Linked DNA regions of Tamandua tetradactyla. The protein of the gene in region 1 purifies or fractionates together with the protein of each later gene. This does not show direct contact. Links are inferred from orthologs where the notes say so. Each region holds a gene or a part of one and is shown in the gene's direction. Other genes may lie near its edges.

Evidence for each region.
Region 2: the proteins of MAP4K1 (region 1) and NUDC purify together in Homo sapiens (affinity purification with mass spectrometry; 3 studies listed by BioGRID and IntAct, with this or other methods). This does not show direct contact. The link is inferred for Tamandua tetradactyla from reciprocal best matches to the Homo sapiens genes MAP4K1 and NUDC.

The regions. Positions count from the first base shown.
Region 1 is NC_135342.1:25,377,073-25,387,916, forward strand, and holds the start of MAP4K1 (mitogen-activated protein kinase kinase kinase kinase 1), read left to right. Parts: upstream 1-4,940; 5' UTR 4,941-5,072; coding exon 5,073-5,155; intron 5,156-5,929; exon of another isoform or gene 5,930-6,064; coding exon of another isoform or gene 6,065-6,096; coding exon 6,097-6,163; intron 6,164-6,342; coding exon 6,343-6,400; intron 6,401-6,520; coding exon 6,521-6,611; intron 6,612-7,389; coding exon 7,390-7,454; intron 7,455-8,794; coding exon 8,795-8,850; intron 8,851-8,945; coding exon 8,946-8,993; intron 8,994-9,127; coding exon 9,128-9,170; intron 9,171-9,252; coding exon 9,253-9,325; intron 9,326-9,793; coding exon of another isoform or gene 9,794-9,808; coding exon 9,809-9,940; intron 9,941-10,353; coding exon 10,354-10,416; intron 10,417-10,514; coding exon 10,515-10,596; intron 10,597-10,844. Other genes in the region: EIF3K (eukaryotic translation initiation factor 3 subunit K), read right to left, coding at 2,869-2,967, 4,634-4,692. UniProt on the Homo sapiens protein: Serine/threonine-protein kinase, which plays a role in the response to environmental stress. Appears to act upstream of the JUN N-terminal pathway.
Region 2 is NC_135328.1:199,315,686-199,326,529, reverse strand, and holds the start of NUDC (nuclear migration protein nudC), read left to right. Parts: upstream 1-4,708; 5' UTR 4,709-4,886; coding exon 4,887-4,967; intron 4,968-6,944; exon of another isoform or gene 6,945-7,128; intron 7,129-7,236; coding exon 7,237-7,314; intron 7,315-9,065; exon of another isoform or gene 9,066-9,521; intron 9,522-10,844. UniProt on the Homo sapiens protein: Plays a role in neurogenesis and neuronal migration. Necessary for correct formation of mitotic spindles and chromosome separation during mitosis. Necessary for cytokinesis and cell proliferation.

The DNA.
Region 1 (10,844 bases):
ATTGTAATATGCTTCCACTGAATGTAACAAAGGCATTATGCCAAAACTAAATGCTAACAGGCGGGGACTGCGGGGTTGGTGGGTACTGATTCTTTGTGGAAAAAAAGAAAACGTCTTCATATAGATTACGGTGGTGAAGGCATGTCTATTTACTTAGGTCAGACTGTATGATGTGCAAATGAAACTGTTCAAAAATGAACAGAGAGCAGGGTGCAAGTGTAGTTCAGTGGTAGAATTCTCACCTGCTATGCAGGAGACCAAGATGTTTTTAAAAAAATGAACAGAGAGAAAACAAGTGCTAGAGAAAATACGGAGTAAGAGATGCACCTACTCCATGTCAGTAGGGAAAGTGAGAGGTGCAGCCCATTGGAGGGCAGTGTGACGGTTCCACAGGTTCCTGCCATATACTCCTGCAACTCCATTGTTCATTATGTACCTGGAGGAACCGAGTGTGGGGACACAAATGGACATTTGCACACTGGTGTTTATGGCGGCAGTGTTCACAATTCACAATGGACGGAGGTGGCCTAATGGTACAACAACTGAGGAATGGAAGAGGGAACTGTGATGTGTACATAAAATAGACTACTGAGTGGCCACAAGGAATGAATGAAGTTGTGAGGCATGCAAATAGGTGAATGAACCTTAAGGACTATATGTTGAATGAAATGTCAGAAACAAAAAGGCAAATATTATCATGCCTCACTCGTATGAACTAATTATAATATAAAAAACTCGGTGAACTGAAGTCAAGAGCATGGGTTATCAGGGCCTATTGTAAAAGGTCCTAGACTGCAAGCTCTTACAGCAGTCACATATATTTAGGAGTTGTAACTGCTACTCTAAATTCTGAGATAATGAGCTATTTATATATAACCTGGTTGTTTCCAGAAACTTTGGGTATTTATGTGACACCTGAGACTTAAGAGTTAGAGCTCTGAAGCTATGAAAATCAGCACTACCCCATACAGGACCTGTTCAAAAAGCTGAAAAAGGGATCAGATTTCGAATACAAATATGCATGAAACTGATATGCATAGGAATGGAGTAGATTAGAATACATACAGGGTAAAGGATGATATCGTCCATATTTTAAAACTTCAACTTCTGTGTAGGACCAAAGGGAGAGATGTTTAGTTGGTGCAAAATTTATATTTTGGGTAGCACATTACATAATTTAACTTGTACGGTCAGTTTAGTGGAACACCGTAAGTATGTGAATATTGAATAGGGCATGAGATCGTGTTGGTTGATCCAGGCTAGTGGGATGCCCCGATATATTCCAGACTAATATGGGCAGTGAATAAAGAGGTATTTGCAAAGTCCCCTTGGGAATTGGGGAGAAAGGACAAAATATTCAACTTCCCCATTTGGAGAATTCCTGATATTCTCACAAGCAGCAGGGACAAGCAAATCAACAGGCTGTTGTGCTCGATCTTGGGGTTTGCCCTACGAAACTTATTCCTGCAAAGGATAGGGTAAGCCTACTTAAAATTATGCCAAGATTTATCCCCAGAGAACCTCTTTTGTTGCTCAGATGTGGCCTCTCTTTCTAAGGCAAGTCAGCAGGTGAGTTCACTGTTCACCCCCTCTACATGGGACTCCCAGGGGTGTAAATCTCCCTGGCAACTGAGACAGAACTCTTGGAATTTGCTGGGACCCAGCATCATGGGATTAAGAAAGTCTCCTTGATCAAAAGGGGGAAGAGAGCAATGAGACACAATAAAGTTTCAGTGGCTGAGAGAGTGCAAACAGAATCAAGAGATTACCTGGAGGTTATTCTTATGCATTAGACAGATATCCCTTTTTAGTTTATGGTATATTGGAGTGGCTGGAGGGAAGTAACTGAAACTGTTGAGCTGTGTTCTAGTAGCCTCAATTCTCCAAGGCAACTGTATAAAGATGTAAGATTAACAATGTGACTGTGACTGTGTAAATCTCGTGTCTGATGCTTCTTTAATCCAGGGTATGAACAGATGAGTAAAAAAAATATGCATTAATGGCAGATAAGGAGTAAAATAAAGTGAGTAGATGGAAATATTGGTGGTTAATGAGAGGGAGGTCTTTTTTCCAATTTCTTTTTCTGGAGTGATACAAATGTTCTGAAAATGATCATGGTGATGAATACACAACTACGTGATGATATTGTAAGCAACTGATTGTATACCATGAATAACCATGTGTGTGTGAAGATTTATCAATTAAAAAAACAATTACACAGCTGGTAGTATGTCAAGAAAGCTCCCAAGAGGGAAGAACTGAAATGTCCATCAATAAGAGAACAGATAAGCAGGACAGAGTCACACAGTGGAGTATTATCCAGCAATGATAATTAACAAACAGCAGTCACATACACCACACACACAAAAAAAGGATGGTTCTCACAATCCCAGTTTTGAGCAGAAGATGGCAGACACATCATGCTGCAGAATTCTATTTATGTTAAGTTCAAAGCAGGGAAAACTAAGCTAAATTGATCAGGATACATGCATATGCAGTCAACTATCACAGAAAACCAGGCCATGTGAGTAGTTACCAAAATCGGGGTAGGGGTTTGGCTGGTATAGAGCACATGGGCTCTGAGGGCACTGGCAGCACTTGATTTTGCAATATGATTGATTACATGGGTATTTGCTTTTATTTGTTAAACTGTATATTTATTTTACATACTATCTTGTAATGTGTTTTGCAATTAATGTTTTATAAGTACCCCCCCCACCCCACCAACCCCCCTCCAACTTCTGTAGCTTCCTAGTCTTGCAAACCAAGAAAAGCCATATCTTACAGGTTAACCCTCTCAGCCCTACCCTGTTTTGGGGGTGGTACCGTTCTGCTGGCACAGGAGTGGCAGTGGGGGCAGATACTCACAGCTTCAGGACAGCTAGGTTGGCTTCCAGATCATAAGCATTTTCCTTGGCCTGCGTCTCTACATAGCGCTCCAGAGTGGCCAGATTCTCAGGATTGTATCTAAAAGAGGAAGAAAATAGGTGAGTAATAAGGAGACAGAGCTGAAGCCACTTTATGGGGCCCTTTAGTCCTTCCTTCTAAATCTGGCACTGAGCACCTGGCACACTCCAATGTTGAATTAGCATTATAACCTCTAGTAAAATCTAGCTCAGACTTTCTGCTATGCTCCAGATCCCAACGGATCCCTGGATGCCCCATCGCCACCCCCCCTCAGCCCATCAGTCCCTGCAGTCTGTGTGTTTGGCCTCCCAAACATCTCTATTACCCACCCTTTCCTTCCCTTCTCAGAATCCCACTTACTCTGCTCCAGCTCCATCCTTTCCTACCTAGTCTTACACCTTTCCCCAGATTCAACCCTGACTCCATTCTCCATACAACAGCCAGAGGGATTTTTCTAAAGCACAGATACGACCAGGTTCATCTACATAAAGTCATTCTATGGTCCCCATGTTTTCCCTCCATGATCTGGGCCCTTGCAATGTAGTTGGTTCCATCTTTCACCACTTCTGACTCTCACTCCACATTTTAGCCTAACTGTAATAAATGAATGGCTTTTGAGAGTGCAAGGATAGTTCAATGGTGTAATTTTCGCCTGACATGTGGGAGACCCGGGTTTGATTCCTGGCCCATGCACTTTCCAAAAACAAGCATAATAAACAATCAAAAAAATAAGCAAACAAAAATTCAACAAAGGGTGCTGCAATAATGGGATATTCACATGGAAAAATAACGAAGTGTGACCCAGCCATACAACATATATTAAAAAAAAAAAGTCTTTCAACTCCTAAAATCACTAAGCTCATCTCATCTCAGAGTCTTTGACATGTTTCCTCCACCTGGAACATCATTCTTCCCACTCTTATCTGGCTCTAGTCTTTCCCTATCCCTCTTCATTTACTTTACTTCCACTCATTTTCCAGGTCTTAACTTTGACTTCACCACCTTAAAAAGCCTCGCCTGACCCAGGCGGAGTCAGATGTCTCCTCTACCTCAGATTCCCACAGCCCCCTGAGTTCTCCCCATCCCATCCTCTACCTCTGCCTGTGCTTTCCCACTCCAGCCCTCACTCCTGTCTGTATTACCCCGCATCAGAGCCATCAGACTCAACCTGGCCTTCGCTTCCCCATCAGAGTCCTGTCCATTTCCAGCGATCACTTTCTACTGTGGTTCTGGCTCGCCTCTGGACCAGGAACTTCATGAACCCAGGGTGAGCGGCTCTCTTGGTCACCGCTGGATCCCTAGTATCGCCCTCCACTGACAGAACATATTTCTGTGAACATATGTTGAATAAGTAACATGAGGTAGAAAGAGGAGCGAGACTAAGAGGCATTGAGAAAGACACTGAGAATGAGGAGCTAAGAGACAGGAGGCTGGGGGTGCTGAGAGAGGGAAGGCTGAGGAACAAGGCGAGGAGACCTGAAGGCAATCAAGTTGGGGGAGATGAGTCATAGACAAGGTTCTCTCTTGCCTCTAGGTTCTTCGCAGCGCTATTTCCTTAGAAATATCCTCCTTCAGAATGAATTCTTACACATACACAGACACTTAAACTGACGGGGAGACACCACCCCAGAACCGGCCAGGCACCCTGACTACCCCTCGATGTCTCTGGAAAATCCTCTCCTCCCCCCCGCCTGGCCAGAAGCGCTCCCTCCGACCATGCTCAGACCTGTCGATACCCTTGAGCAACTTGCCCACGTTCGCTCTCATCTGTTCAAACATCGCCATGATTACCGCCGTTTCCCACACCAGCAATTGAACCCAAGTCAGAACCCGTGCAGCGTCCTCAAGGGCCGGAAGCGGAAGAGGTTGCGGAAGCGGAAATACGTTTTGTTGTTTCACCGCGCCCCCTCTCAGGATTGTTGCAGCGGTCGCCACGCTTTTCAGCTACCACGTGACTTCTTCTCAGCACGCGTTTATGGCGCGTGCGCATTCGCTCCTCCAGCGCTTGGACCAGTAGCATGACAAAAAGCTTACTCTACCCTAGTGCGCAGGCGCCCTCTGTGGACGGGAAGGCGGGGCTAGGCTTTTCCCGGGCCTCGCGTTCCAGGTCTCGGAGCGCGTGCGTCTGTGCTCAAGTACTTCTCCCGGAAGGAGACGGAACTCTGATGGTTTGCGAGCTCGTCGTTTTGCTCGTGGCGGTGAATTCACAAAACCCTGTGGGATTATACGTTGATGCTCTCCCTCTGGGGTAACTCTCAAAGGCTGTACGCTTTGAGGTCGCCCATGCGTGAGGCCTGGGCACTTGAGGCAGAACCCTGAGACCGACCCCAGTTTGAAGTCCTGAACCCTGTCCTCACCTTCCACCCCAGCTCCAGGGGGAGAGCCCCGTTGGGCTGGTGGGGGCTGGGGTGTGTGTGTGTGTGTTCATTCTCCACGGGGCCTGGTGTGTGTGTGTGTGTGTGTGTGTGTGTGTGTGTTCATTATCCACGGGGCTCCAGTCTTGGGGCAGAAGGCGAGCCCCCCAAGTATGTTTAGAATGCGTATTACGGGTGCGAGTGCCCGGCCATGTGCGTGAATATGGAGGCGTGTGCTCTGGGTACATCCACATTTGTGTACACAGGTAAACAGGAATGTACTACGTCTGCAGGTCTATGAACAGCACAGGCGAGTACTACGTAAGTGCATGTATGTTTCCCAATGTACAGGCATGTACATTGCATGGCCTGTGCAGATCTGCCACCTGCAAGTTGTGCCCAAACCCTCAAGCATTCAGCAGAGCTTCAGCTATGGCCCTGACCCAAAATAGGGGGAGGAGGTGCTGAAGCAGCCCCCCCCCTCCCCACCCCCGGTCGCAATAAAGATCATTTGCATTTCGTTACATCCAGCCCTGGCGCCTGGGGTGGATCAGGGTCCCCTGGGTCCCAAGGCAAGCTGCCCCTCACAGCTTTCAAGGCCCAAGGGACAGGGGGTGGAGCCGGTTGCACCGCCCTGCATCGGGGCAGGAAGCGAGAGTGGGGAGGGGGGAGGCCGCAGCCTGAGGCCGCAGCCTGCCTATGCAAGGCTGGTGGCTGGTGTATAGGGAGGGAGGGAGGTTCCAGCACTCCAGCCCTGAGGCCCTGCTGGCCCCTGGGCACAGGCCCAGCTCCGGCCCCCAGGGATGGACCTCGTGGACCCTGATATCTTTAATAGGGACCCCCGGGACCACTATGACTTGCTGCAACGGCTGGGGGGCGGCACCTACGGGGAAGTCTTCAAGGTGAGGAGCCCTTCACCCCCCACCCCCCACCTCCCTTCTCTATCACCTTCTAAGCAGTGACCTTTGGGAGGAGGCCTGGGAAAGGAAAGGTATGCATGGGTCCTTGGCCTTGGCTCAGGGATGCTGAGGAAGGACTCAGGCCAGCCGGGCCTTAATGACTTCCAACTTCCCCTTACAAGGCCCGAGACAAGGTGACGAGGGACCTGGTGGCATTGAAAATGGTGAAGATGGAGCCTGGTGAGATGAGGACCCAGGAGCTCCCTCCTCCTCCCCTCCCCCCACCTCCTGGGACACCAGGATGGCCTCCCCCATTGCCCCATCCTCCAGCTGCTGCTGCTTCTCTCCCCCTCCTCGCAGACGATGATGTCTCAACCCTTCAGAAGGAAATCCTCATCTTGAAAACTTGCCGGCATGCCAACATCGTGGCCTACCATGGGAGCTATCTCTGGTGAGGGGCCTGGGCCCTGCCTAGGGAGCCAGTCCAGCCCCCAAACCAGAACCCTCATTTCTGACTGGGGCACCTAACATGAGCTACCATTTCTGATCCAAGCACCAGAACCTAACCATCAATCCTGAACCCCCATTTCTAACTGCTGCACCCCTACTGATATCTAGTCCCAAGACCTGTTTTCTGACCAAAGTACCCCCTGTTCTGACCCCCAATTCAGAACTCCCATTTCTGACCAGGGGTCCCCAAAACGATCCCATCATAGTTTCAACTAAACCTGAAACTCGAGTCTCTTCAAACTAATCTGTCATCATTCTGGCCTTTTAGTCCCTGAGTTTCACTTTCTCCTTCATTAATATGAACTCCTCAATTCCTTGACCCAAAAATGAATATACCAGATACCCCAACAATGATCACTGTCCCTCAGATGGGGCACCCTGGGCCCCTTTTCCCCTTCCTACCTCCCCAACCTCTGAGATGCCTGCCTGTCTCCTAGGTTAGCATGGGACAACAGAGGGTGCCCTGGGTTTGGAGCTCTGAAGATCTGTATTCGAGTCCAGCTCACTCTGAAAGCACACTTCTCTTTTTCTTCATTTTTGCTATCTGTAAAATGGAGACAGAACAATTTCACTCTGCCGGGCAACGGGAGATAGAGAGATGACTGCTGTTCCCTTAGTGTGCTGGTTGAACTAGCATAAGACAGACAGTGACCTAGAGGCTCTCCTGCAAATAGTGTTCCTGACATTATCATTTTATTATTGTCATTGAACCACTGCAGGCTGCAAAAGCTCTGGATCTGCATGGAGTTCTGCGGGGCTGGTTCTCTCCAGGACATCTACCAGGGTGAGAGGAGGGAGAAGGAATCCAGGCCCCCTCTGTACCTCCAGGCTACCCCTTCGGTCTCCTCCTGCCTCCCTCTGTTTGCTTCTGCCTGGGATAGGTTTTTTGGACCATAGTTCATACACTGAGCCCCCTGCTCTGGGCTGGGCCCTGCCCTCCAGGACCTGACAGCCCAGCCCAAATCTTTCTGCCTCCAAAGATCCCCTCTCTCCACCTACCCCCATCTCTGTGTCTGCATTTTCTTGTCAAGCAAGACAGTTTTCTGTCCATGTGGTTGAATATTTCCGCATTTCTGGCTCAGAGTAGATGATGCCTAAGGACTCGTTAAATGAGTGAATGAATTTCTGCATCTCTCTCTCTCTCACGCTGCCCTTTACTCTTGGAGAATTTGAAGGTGGAGTGGGTCTCTGAACACCTCTCTGGATTTCTGATGCCTGACTCCCTCCAGCCCAAGACTTCAAATGTCAGAAGTCTTCAGGGAGGGGAAACTGAGGCCCCCATACAGGAAGTGGCTCACACAGCCTGCCTGTCATATCTGGTCTCTGACTACCTTTCTCTGTCTCACTGTCTGTCTGTTTCTCCTCCTTCTCCACCCTTCTGTGTCTCTCTCTTTCTAGATATGTCTGTTTCCCACGTGTCCTCATCATCTCTTTTTCTCTCTGCTTCAGTTGGGATCTGTCCTGCTCCTCTGTCTGTCTCTCTCCATCTCTGCATCTCTGCCTCACCTCATCCTGCAATCACCTAACTCTGAAGAGTTACCCAAAGACCTCATGGGAGGGGTCCCCAAGTCTATCCCGGCCCCCTCCAGCTGACCGACCTTTCCTCCCCCCGCTTTCCTCCCCACCCACCTCGCCACTTTCCCACCAGCCCACTCCCGCCTCCGGCCTCTGCACCTGCTCTTCTCACTCTCCTCAGAGTGGGGCAACTCATGTTACCCAAATACCATCTTCTCAGAGGGGCCGTCCCTGACCACCCTGGCTAAAATTTCATACCCCTCCCCACACTTATTTCCTGTTGTCCTTTCCTACTTTGTTTTGCTTCTCACCACTTGGTAACATCTCATGGTCTATTTTGCTCGGTTCTCTCATGTACTATCTCCCTTCCCCACTGGAATGTTCTCTCCCACAATGGCAGGGTCTCTGTCTGTTTAGGGCCCCAGGCACCCATCTCCTCTGTCTCCCCCGGGCCTCTGTTTCCCCACGTTCCTGCTTCTCTGTGGCTAGACAGCTCTCTGTCTCGCCTCACTCCCCAAACCAGTGTGGGTTGGAGCCGGGGGACACCTGGATCCAGGTTTCCTGGCTTCCCACCCAACGCTGTGCCTTGGGTGACCTGTGCCTCTGCAGTGACCGGCTCCCTCTCAGAACTCCAGATCGGCTATGTCTGCCGGGAAGTGCTCCAGGTAAGGAGAGGACCGGGGGTGGTGGGTGCAGGGCCCTGCTCCCCACCCCACCCTCATACCGTACTCATAGCTCCCCTGTCAACCCTCCTCCCCAGGGGCTGGCCTATTTGCACTCACAGAAGAAGATACACCGAGACATCAAGGTGGTCTGGGGCAGAGGGGTGGTATTGGGGGCATGGGGACCCCAGGGGATGGGAGCTTGGTGTAGTTGAGCTGTCGGGTAGGGGAGCCTGGGGAGAGGGTCCCTGCCAGTCTCTCACCCCTCTCTTGCCTCCAGGGAGCCAATATCCTCATCAATGATGCTGGGGAGGTCAGACTGGGTGAGTGTGGCTGGTGAGGGGGGCAGGGGGCCTGGGGGGAGGGCAGGGGACCCCAGCTCACTGTCTCTCCCTCTGCCTCCAGCTGACTTTGGAATCTCGGCCCAGATCGGGGCGACACTGGCTCGACGCCTCTCCTTCATTGGGACGCCCTACTGGTGAGGGCTCCCTGGCAGGCCCCTGGGGGGTGGGGGGAGCAGCTGCTCCCCCCCCCCCCCACACCTAGTTCTCTGGAGAGTTCTTTCCTGGCTCCTTTCCCCCTGGCCTTTCTCTGTGGGACATCCTGTCATCTTTGGCTCTGTCTTGAGTTTTTCATTTCCCCACGTCTGTTGGTGCCTCTTTCTGCCTGTTTCTGTGCTTGTCTCTTTTTATTTTGGAGATACATGGTTAAGTGTGTTTGTCTCATTTTTATCTTGATCTCTGGGTCTCCCCATCTCCGTCTCTTTCTGCCTTTCCCCTCTCTGTCTCTCAGTCTGTCTCTGCATCTCCCTCTCCATCCTTATGTCTCTCTCTCCATCTGGCTCTCTCTACTCCTCTCCGTGTCTCTCCTCCCCCTTCTCCCCATGCCCAGGAGTCTGTCCCCCACTCTTGCCACCCCCTCCCTATGCCACCCTTGGCTCTCTAAGGGTCTCTGCCCCCAGGATGGCTCCAGAAGTGGCAGCCGTGGCCCTGAAGGGAGGATACAATGAGCTGTGTGACATCTGGTCCCTGGGCATCACAGCCATCGAGCTGGCTGAGCTGCAGCCACCGCTGTTTGACGTGCACCCTCTCCGGTAGGACTCCGGGCCCCAGAGATGCGCCCGGCCCTGATCCTGTGGACTCCCCAGCTTGCTTCCCCACATCAAGATCTCTCTTTAGGGGACCCCCTTACTCAGAGCCCATATGAGACCCTTAAGAATTCCCCAACCCAGAAAACCTTATGTTCAGCCCTCCACACCAGGAACCCCCATCCTGAGTCTCCCTCTGCCTCTGCGTCTGTTTGAAATGTGATAAATGTGCCCCCAGGGGTGGCATCTTTGCGGGGACAACACCCGAGCCTCATCCTCCCTCCCCACCCTGCCCCGCACTTTGGTCTCTGGTAACGTCAGGGCTGTAGACCTCCTGGGGAGCCTGGGAACCCCTCCAGCCATGAGGTCTGACCCTGAAGTGGGGCTCTGAACCCCATGTTCTCTCCCTTCTCTTCTAGAGTTCTCTTCCTCATGACCAAGAGTGGCTACCAGCCCCCCCGGCTAAAGGAAAAGGGCAAATGGTGAGCAGAGAGGGGTGGGGGTAGGGAGAGGGCAAAGCCTGGGTGGGGGGCTGATGGGGAGGTCTCAGTAACCCTAGAACTGGCTTCTTCCGTTCCAGGTCAGCTGCCTTCCACAACTTTGTCAAAGTCACCCTCACTAAGAGCCCCAAGAAGCGGCCCGGTGCCACCAAGATGCTCAGTGTAAACCTCCCTCTCAGAGAAATCCCCCCAACCCTCTTGTTACCCCAGAATTCCCTGGGGCCTTCCACAACTCCCTAGAACTACGATAATTTAGTTCCACAGAGCCTCTGTGGCCTTTTAAAGTCCCTAACCACACCGTCCCCCAAGAATTTTCCAGGATCTCCCTAAAACCCCCAACTTGTACCCCAAACTAGACCTTCCCCAGCTCTCCTGAATTGCCAGAACTCACAAGTTTCCGAGGGCCTCAA
Region 2 (10,844 bases), on another chromosome or scaffold:
GAGGGTTTTAGAATACTCATTCATCACAAAGGGGGAAGGATAACCTAGCAGATACCACCTTAATCAAGTGGCCAAAATAAACTACAGGACAAATGGAAATTGTGCACTACCTGATAGGATGTACCAAGAATACAGCATCACTTCTGTGATATTTCTGATAAAGGTTCATAGCCTGAGTCTCATCACAAGGAAACGTCAGACAAACTCAACTTGGGTGACATGCCACAAAATAACTACAACTCTTCAAAGTTTCAAGGTTGTGAAAGGCAAGGAAAGGTCAAGGAACTGTTCCAGACTGACAGACTAAAGAGACATGACAGTAAATGTCAGGAGAGACTTTAGACTGAGTCCTTTCACTACTACAAATTTCACTGGAACATTTGGTGAAACTTAAATGGGGTCTGAGATTAGATGGTAAAATATTTAATGTTAATTTTCTGATTTTCATGGTTATATAGTGTGGTAGTTAGTTTAGGCATCAACCTTCAGGAAATCTAAGATCTAGAGACACAGACCTGCTTTTAGTAGCTTCAAGTCTAATAGGGGAGCCAGGACATCCACATCAGTGGTGGAAGTGAATGCTAAAATGGAGTGGGCAGAGCTTGAACTAGAAAGGATAGGCTCCCATCTGTATAGCACTTCACAGTTTACAAAGTACTTGACAACGGTTATCTCAGTTAATTTTCAGGCAGCAATGGGAGGCCAATGCTACTATTCAAGTAGAAACCTCAATCGTTGCCATTAACAATAATAATAGCTGTCACTTTGATCATCTACCATGTGCCAGGTACTGGACGGGACATTAACTGTAAGATTAAAGAGCATCCAATGAGATAATGTATTTGAAATTGCTTTACAATCCCATGACCAGGGTGCATACGGTTACTCTTGTGTGCAGAAGTCTTGGACTGGTCCAGGGGGCAGCTGGAAAATCCCAGATTGCAGTCAGCGGGGTTAAGGATTGGGAGTATGCAAGCCAGCACTGGGCACCTTTTCATTTCCTGGAGGTGTCATACACATCCATGCCTCAAAGCTTTTGCTCATGGTCACCCACTGCCTGGGATGCCTGTTTGCTTGGTAAGCTCCTGGTCTAGCTCCAATGTTACCACTTAAGCACAGCCTTCTGGTCTTTCCCTCTCCACCTCTTCAGTAGAATAAATTGCTCCCTCCCTGAGTTCCAAGGTCACCTAGTCCACATCTAATGAAGCACTTAGCACATAGTGCCGTCACTCATTACCAAATGTGGATGGGGTCAGAAGGCATTAGGGGAGGCTGACTAGTCACCAAGGGGCCTTCCTGGACAATATTTATTATCTCGGTGAACTTACCAGGGTCTAATTTCAGGTCTTGGTTTCTCATCAAACAAACATCCAGGACTGATTTACAAAATCAGAATGTCAATTCAGGGAGGTAGAATTCTAAGATGAAGTGGGTAAGTGTGTGGGCTGTTGGGCAAGATTGCTTGGGTTTGAATCCTGCCTCTGCCCTTCCAGCTGTGCAAACTTCAGCATGTGACTTCACTTCTCTGTCCCTGTTTTCTCACTCCCCAAATGGGGATATCAGCATTTACATCATAGGAACACTGTATAGGTTAAGTCAAATAATATTTTTAAAGTGCTCAGTCAAGTACTGGACACAGTGAGAAGTCAGTAAATTCTACCAATATTTATTGATAAATTTATAATGAGATTCAAAGGTATCAGGCAAAGACCATTTGTTCATTTCCCAGGTATTTATTGAGGTTTTTACAATGTTTGAGGCTCTGAGATGAATGCTCAGAATATAGTGAAAAATCAGACACGTGCTTTCATAGAGCTTATATTCCAGCAAGAGAAGATTACTGGATCTTGGTGTAGAACCACAATTTCTTGATCATAAATTTCAAATTATAATAAGTAATTACAAAGGACAAGCAGAGGACATTTTTCCCCCTTTTTAAATTAATTTTTTTTAAAAAATATAACACCTAACAAACAAAAACATTCTTTAAAAAATATATATAACAAAAAACAAACATTCTTAACATATGATCATTCCGTTCTACATATATAATCAGTAATTCACAATATCATCACATAGTTGCATATTCATCATCATGATCATTTCTTAGAACATCTGCATCAATACAGAAAAAGAAATAAAAAGACAACAGAAAAAAATTCATACATATCATACCCCTTATCCCTCCCTTTCATTGATCACTAGCATTTCAAGTTACTAAATTTATTTTAACATCTGTTCTCCCTAATTATTTTTATTCCATATGCTTTACTTGTCTGTTGATAAGGTAGATAAAAGGAGCATCAGACACAAGGTTTTCACAATTACACAGTCACTTTGTGAAAGCTATATCATTATACAATCATCGTCAAGAAACATAGCTACTGGAACACAGCTCTGCATTTTCAGGCAGTTCCCTCCAGCCTCTCCATTACCTCTTGACTAACAAGGTGACATCTATTTAATGCGTAAGAATAACCTCCAGGATAACCTCTCAACTCTGTTTGGAATCTCTCAGCCATTGACACTTAATTTTGTCTCATTTCTCTCTTTCCCCCTTTTGGTTGAGAAGGTTTTCTCAATCCCTTGATGCTGAGTCTCAGCTCATTCTAGGATTTCTGTCCCACGTTGCCAGGAAGGTCCACATCCCTGGGAGTCATGTCCCACATAGACAGAGGGAGGGCAGTGAGTTTGCTTGTTGTGTTGGCTGGAGAGAGAGGCCACATAGCAGAGGACATTTTGAAAGTAAAAGCTATAAAGATTTAATCTGTACATAATGGTCAGTAAAGGCCTCATAGATGAAGTGGCACTTGGGCTGAGACCTGATGAATGAAAAGGAGTTGGCCAGAAAAGGTCTAGAACCTAGGGCAAGGAATTAGAAGAAGTGAAGGAAGCCAGTGAAGAGGGAGCCGGGTGAATGAAGAAGGAAGCAGGATGTAATAAGACTGGAGAGGTGGCCAAGTCCCTGATGAGGCCACAGTTGGGAGTTTGGAATTTATCCTGAATGCAATGGCAGTTCCACCAAAGGGCTGGTTTTAAGAAGGAAGTAACAAAATCTGGCTTACATTTTAGAAGGATTGATCTGGCTACTGGGTGGAGAGTGGACTATAAAAGGACAAGAAAGGAAGTAAGGAGCCCAGTTAGGAAACTGTAGGAGTGGTTGTCAAAGCAACGACTGGAGTGGTAGCAGCATAGATGATCAAAAGGGATCAGAATCAGGATATATTTTGGAGGGAGAGCTGACAGAATTTACTAATGGATTAGATGAAACTAGAATTGGGCTTGGACAAATGTGTGAATGAATGGAGATTTTGGCTTTGGCAAATGGGAGTTTGAAAGAGCCATTTAACTCAATCAGGAAGACTTTGGGAGGAAGTAGTTGGGGAGGGGGTGTTCCAAGTCCGCCATGTTACTTTTCAGATGTCTACTATTTAAGTGGAGCTGTCCAGGAGGCAGTTAGATAGATGAGCCTGGAGCTCAGGAAAGGTCAGGGCCACAGATATCGATTTGGACATCATCAGGACAACCACTGGAGTCAATGAGATCACCTAAGGAGAGAGTGTGGCTAGAGAGGAAAAGAGGAAAAAGCAGGGGATAGAACCTCCAACATTTTACAAGTCTGTGACGCACAGGACACTGAGAAATGTTAATAAGTTGGGAAGAAAACCAGTTAAATGGTGACACAGAAGCCTAAAGAAAAAAAGTGTTTCCAGAAGGAAGAAGGGGTCAACTGCAGCAGTTGCAGCTGAAAAGTTGCATAAGATAACAGCGGTCCATTGGCTTTGGTAATATGTAGGTCATTGTAATTTGATCAGAGCTGTTTAAGAAAAGACCAATTAGAATAAGTTGAGGCAAGATGAGAGGTGGAAAGTGGAGAAACAAGCATAGAATTGTGCTATAGAATGAGCACTAAAAATCGGAGCAGGAGGAGAAAAGTGAACTCATGGATTTTGTTTTTTAATTACTATTATACCATATTTGTAAGTAGATAGGAATGATCCAGAAGGAAGAAATTTGTGATGCAGGAGATACAAAAGGGAAAACTGCATAGTGTAGAGTCCCTAAAAACACTAAGATGATAAAATTCATTGTTTAAATAGAGTAGAGAGAGCCACCTTAGATGGCCAGGATCTGTTCCCACATTGACAGAGTGAAGGCTGAGAACAGGGAAAGTTACACTATCAGTGCCGCCTAGTGTGAAATGAAAATATGAGGCTCATTGTTCAAAAATTATTAAGAATTTCAAGACTGCGACAGCGGAGTAGTAAACCAAGCATAGAGGGCTCTTCAAGCCTGGGGCCTGTGTAGCTGCAGAGTTTGAATGGCAAGAAGCCGGTTCTCGTTGAGTCTGTGATGGTGACTGTGAGGGGTGGGGGTGGGGCGGTCCTTCGGGTAAGACCCTTCTACGTTCTGGGCCTCAGTTGCCTCCTGTAAGTATTGGAAAAGATGACTAAGTGTATTTTCAGCTCCACCGTTCTACAAAACAGAAAAGCAAAGTTTCTTCCTTTCCAATTTCCAATCCCGCCAGATTTGAGCCCTGTGCTTTCTGGAAGGCTCCAAAGCATTTGGTGACCATAGCAACTGACGCCAAACTCCTAGGCCTTCGGCTCCGCCCACCGCTTCATGGACGCCTCGTTGATTGGCTGAGCAATCCACGGCCAATGGACTGTGAAACGGGATGTTTGCCGCGCGGCCAATGGCCACCGCCTGGGCCAGAGGCGGGAGAGGAAGAGAAGAAGGCGGGCTCGGGCCGCGGGCTCACGTGCGTGTTTCCGGCTCCGCTGCGGAAAGCGAAGGACGCGAGCCGTTGGCCCGACGCGACCAAAGGAGCGAGGAGCGCTTGGGGCGCGAGTGCGGAGTTCGGGGAACGGATAGAGGCCGGCGCGATGGGTGGGGACCAGGAAGAGGAACGGTTCGACGGCATGTTGCTGGCCATGGCTCAGCAGCACGAGGGCGGCGTGCAGGAGGTAACGGCCCCGCGCGGCGTCGGCCCAGCCGGCTTCAGCGTGGCCTGCCTCTCCGGGCGGCTCTTATCACGCTCCCTCTTCCCTTCTTTGCCTTCGAGGACCGAGATCCACCCCTGGGGCTCGCGGGCTTCCGCGAGTCCCCCACTTTCTCCCCGCGCTCCAGCTTCCGGTCTGGACTCTCAGCCGGCGTGTCCCTGTCTTTTCATATCAGTTCCGGCCCCCGGGCGCCTTTCTCGCTCCTATCGCTGCCACTTCGGCGTCCAGAACAAATCATTCAGTTTATGAAACCGAGGCCCAGAGAGGGGTGGGGACTTACCTGAGATCATCCTTTAGGCTCTGACCTAGCCTGAACCAAGCTCCTTAGGCCAGTGTGCTTTTCACAATACTTTACTTATTCTGTTTTCATTGTGCCCGTTGAAACCCATACCCAGAGTCTTGGGTTTTCCCTTTTGATTTCCCACATGGTTCCAGTCCGGTGCTCCCATTGATGGCCGCCCCCGAAGAGCATTCCTTAGGATAAACTTTGTTAGGCATTGTGATTTGCATCTACCAAGATTTGCAGTGAGCGGACTAGAGTCTGTGGGGTGTTTGTTGGGGGTGGAGGGTGTGTTAGCACGTGGCCTTTTTAAAAAGGTCTTGAATGGGAGAATAGGAGGCCTGTGCTCACAATTGGTTTCCACCACCCACCAGCTTGGGACCGTTCCACCCCTCCTCAAGCATCAGTTTCCTTATTTCTGAGAAGGGGCTCTATGAATCCCTGTTTTCCTGAATCATTGTAGAGAAGTGGTATCTTGAGGAAGGACAGTGGAGAGTTTTCAGTGATCAGGCTTGTTAGTTCAGCCAGCATTTGTTGAGTGATTGAAGTGTGCCAGACACTCCCTGGGCTGGGTCTTGGGGATACAGACTTGAGCAGAAACCTCCTTGTCCCCGATGGAGATAGCAAAGTGCTTTTCCAAAAGCATGATTCATGCTGAGTGATCAGTCCATGAACTTTAAGGGCACGTAGTGTAGATTTTGGAGTTTGTGTTTTGAAACAGAAACAGAAAGTGAGAAATAGGAAAGCCTGTCAAGATCAGTCCAGAGCAGTCATTCTGTTTATGAAACTAAGGCCCAGAGAGGGGTGAGGACTTGGCTGAGATCATCCCTTCGGCTCTGACCTAGCCTGGACCAAACTCCTTAGGCCAGTGTGCTTTTCACAATCCTTTGCTTATTCTGCTTATCATTGTGCGCAGGTTTTCACTGTGCTGTCCATTTCAATTATTTCCCTCAGGTGTCCATGGTGTGCAAGGGTTCCCGAGCCCTGGGAAGTAGAGAGGGTATAACTAATTTGCAAGTGTAAAATGTCTTTCTGCCCTCTACCTTCCCCTAAATCTTTGAGACAAAATGAGATTTAGGATTGAGTTCAGTTTTCAGTGGATTGGAAAAGTATCCAGAAGCAGGAATTGTATCGTTGAGATAAATTCTAGCATCAGATTTAGAACTATATGGGCAAATAATAGCACTTGGATATGCTAACATTAGGTCACTACTAGCTCTATTCATTAATCAAGAACTGTACTGAGCATGGACTCTGAGCTGCATGTGCCAGGCATTGGGGAAGGAGTGAGAATAAGCTATGGCACCTGACTCCGGCTTGCGAGGAGTCCATGCTCTGGTAGTGGCCTGTTGTTCTGTGCTGAACACTGCAAAGGGCCTTCCCTCCATTACCTTGTTTGATTTTCACAGGGTCCTTTGAAATAGATCTTGCTACTATTCCTGCTTTACAGAGTTAAGACACTTCCCCAAGTTCACAGCTAATAAATAATCAGTTTGACACTCAAACACATGCTCTTAACCACTTGGCTACAATGGTACCTTAGCCAGAGTTATTTGGTCTTGCCCTTCTTTAAGGTGGCTTCCTTTCCTCCCCTCTTTCTGGCTGCCCTGCTAGCTCAACCAGTGCCACTCTGGATAGCTTTTTTTCCTTTTAAGAGTATTTTAAGCCCTGGGTGCAGAGGTTTGAATGTTCTACATCCTCAGGCTACTTCTAACACCACAAGAAGTATGGAACCATGAGCACGTATATACACAAGATATGAGAAATCCACTTTCCAAGTGGTTTGGCTAAGGTTAGGTTTGGCTTCCTGGCAGGAGTGACTAAGGAGGCCTGTGGAAGACTCAGGTGAGAATAGTTAAGTCCCAAGTTCTCTTGAACTTAGGAAGTTGGTTCTTGTGCAGTGGAGGATTCCCAATATGACATGCCCCACAAATTCAGTCTTCTGTCTTTCAGCTTGTCAATACCTTCTTCAGCTTCCTACGACGTAAAACAGACTTCTTCATTGGAGGAGAAGAGGGAATGGCTGAGAAGGTATGTGTTGGGGGCCCGCTCTTCTTTGGGTAGCTCTATCTCTTGAGAAAAGCTTACCTGGCTTTCTTTTGGCATAATAGTAACCTTCAGCAGAAGCAAAACACCAAGGCCAGGGAATAGGGGAAGGGAAGCAAGCTGTCGTTTATTGCAGCCCTACAATTTGTCAGCTGCTGTATCTATTCTACAAGAGAGGCAGGTGTTACTACCCCCATTTTACACATGAGGACATTGGTTCATGGATGTTTTGCAACTTATCCCAGGTCTTGAACTGAGTTGTGGGAGAACTGGGGTTGGGACTAGAGTCTACTCTAAAATACGCCTTCTGTCACTGGCATTATTCTTTGTTCCTTTTTCATTGAAGAGGTTTAACTAATTATAATCAGAGGATGTTAGAAATTGAGGCTTAGAAGACGAGAATTCAAAGTCAACCAATCCCAACTGGTCTAGATGCTGTGACCCAAAGCTCAAGGGTTTGTGACTTGAGGTTTGCTATACTGGATCTGAACCTCTCTCCCCTGATACTGAATTGTCTTCTGATTCCTAGGGGTGTATTTCATTATAATTACATCTTTTGAAAATTGATACATCATATAAAATCACTGAACTATGATTTTATAACTTAAATATTTGTTTTCATTTAAGCTTCAGACAGTAACAAGGAGACATTTTATAAAGAGCTTTTCTGTGGCATAAGTCCTCTAATAAGGTGATGTTCTATAATGTGTTTGAAGATCTGAGGCTACTTTGCTGTAGATATGTGGGCCTGGGGACTAGGGGTCTCTGGTTCTTGGTCTGTATACCCTGGCTGAGTTCCCACCAACTCTATGGTCCTTTCAATTTTTCACGTCTGTAAAATGGAAGATGGACTCACTGACCTGCAGGATGCCTTCTGGTTCAGTATTTCTTCTGTATTAGCACAAGTTCTGCTGAATTTTCTATAGGACTGACTACCTTGTGTTATTGGCAGTCATTCAGTCACTCATTGAGCAAAAATTTTTGAACTCAATCCTTTGCTCTGTTCGGTAACTATACAGAGCCCTTGGGGGTTACAAAAGTGAGAAAAGGCATGGTCTCTGTCTTCCTGGATCTGTCAGGGGAGTTGAGAAAAATAGAGAATGAAGAAGTGCTGGGTGTTAGGGCAGGAGCCCTGGGAGCAGAAAACAGGGACTAACCTAGGTTGGGGGTTCAGAGAAGACTTCCTGAGAAAATGGTATTTGAGATAAGAAGGATGAGTAAGAGGTAGATGGACAAAGAGGGAGAGATGAACTTTTGAAAATATTAAGAAGCAGTATCTCTAGATGGTGGTGATGGTCACACAACAGTGTGAATGTAATCAACACCTCTGAATTGTATGCTTAAAATGGAAAATGTCATATATGTACATTACCACAATAAAAATAAAAGGAACAACACTGGTATCTCAGAAATACCATGAGGATGAGGATAGCTACTCTATATTGAATGTCTACTTGTCCCTTCTTGGACATTGTCATGTTCTTTGGTTCTCCTCCCCCATCTCCAATAGATTTATTTTGTTTAAAAGGAACAGATTTTGAAATAAAAAAACATAGGGCAGGGAGAAGTATGGAATAGAAAGTAAGTAACATGCATAAGCTGTTTTGCTAATTGTTTTATAACCACAACAAACTAATACAGAGAAGGCCCCATACAGAAAAACACAAGAAGTTCTAGAGATCAAGGTCTTCTCTTAGAAGGCTGAGAATTTCAGTCTCTGGCATTTGGACTTTGGGCTACTGTCTTTGTTTTGTATGGATCCTTGGGTGGGTGGCACAGGCCATGCTTTGACCAAGCTTAAACAGAAGAATGGCCACTTGGCCGAGGTAGAAGTAGATGAAGTGCTTGGTTTCATGTGTCACATGACTACCGAAGATTCCCCCCCATGATGCAGTGCCACTGAGGTTATACTTGTCAAACTCCTCCTTGATCTGGGCCACAGTGTTCTTTGTGTTGTATTTCTCCAGCCCCTGAGTTGCATGCTCCAGGTCCTGTTGGATTTACTCCAACATGTCCACATCTTTGATCAGAGCCTCTTGGTTGCGTGTGGTTACCAAGGAGCAGGGGCGGTGTCTGTAATGATCTCCCCACAGAAGGGTCCGCATAATTTGGGCTTGATAGGTGCCGCCGTTGCTGCCAAAGGCACAGTGCAACTCCTTGATTCTTTGTTCCCTTAGGTCAGCCCAGGACATTTGTCAAAGTCTCAGGTGGGCAGAAATCTGTCCAACCTTCCCGCTTGTCTCTAATGTAACAATAACTCCTTTGTGTTGAGCAACTACCATATGCAAGTGCAGTCAGATACATTCTTTTCAATTACAGTGGTTAAATATACGATTTGGAGTCAGGCAGATATAAATTTGAATCCTAGGTCTGTTCATTTATAACTGTGTGGCCTTGGGTGAATCTTATCTCTCTGAACCTCATTTTCCTTACTTTTAAGGGGGGCTAATCCTTACCTCACAGGGCTGTTGTTAGGATAAAAAGAAGTAATATAGTAGTGGCTGGCGCTACTGAAAATAGATGTGCACATGAAAATAGAAGGCCACAGTCCCTTATCTGAGCCACTTGGGGCTAGATGTGGTTGGGATTAGGAATTCTGTGGATTTTAGGAAGGTAGTACAGTGTATGTGCAGTACCCCAGACCAGAGGTCAGGAGGGGCACCTTGTAATCAAACATATTAATATTTCTGCAGAGAAATGTATATCAGTATTCATACCAGATGGTAGTTATGAAGACTAAGTGGTGTTGTGCCACAAATTTACAAAAATTTTTAGTTTTTATTACTTTTGGAGTTAGGAATTATGGATAAGCAATACTGGATTTGAGTAAAACCACGATGATTCAAATAAATATGGTATTCACAAAGGAAGAGGCAAATGGATCAGTGGAACAGACTAGAGAATCCAGAGATAAATCTAGTATATATATGTCTCATGTGGTAATTCAATTCAGTAGGCAAAGGATGATTTAATGTCATGTGCTACATTTGGCTATTCATCTGTAAGAAAACAAAATTTTACCATGTCTTAATCATAAAAATAAATTGCAGATCAGGAAAAGTCTTGTAAGGAAAGCTGGGAAGGTGTGTACAGTCTACTGGTGGGGGGAGGCCTTTCAGATAGAACCTGGAAACTTTGAAAGAAAACTTATATATAGCAAAAGAGATCACATATAAAATCTATTGAGAAACAATAGATTTGGGGGGAAATGTGCACTGCAGAGTCTTTTTTTTTAAATTTTTGTGTTAACATATTATCTTAGTTTCCTGGCTGCTAAAACAAATACCATATATTGGGTTGGCTTAGACAACGGGAATTTATTGACTCACAGATTTAAGGCTAGAAGTCCAAAATTAAGGCATCAGCAACATAATGCTTTCTCCCAAAGACTGGTGTTCTGGGATTGGGCTGCCAGTGATCCTTAGGTCCTTGGCTTTTCTGTCACTTGTTGACGTCCTCCATTCTTCTCCGGGTTCCTGCAGGCTTCCAGCTTCTTGCTTCTTTCACTTCATAAA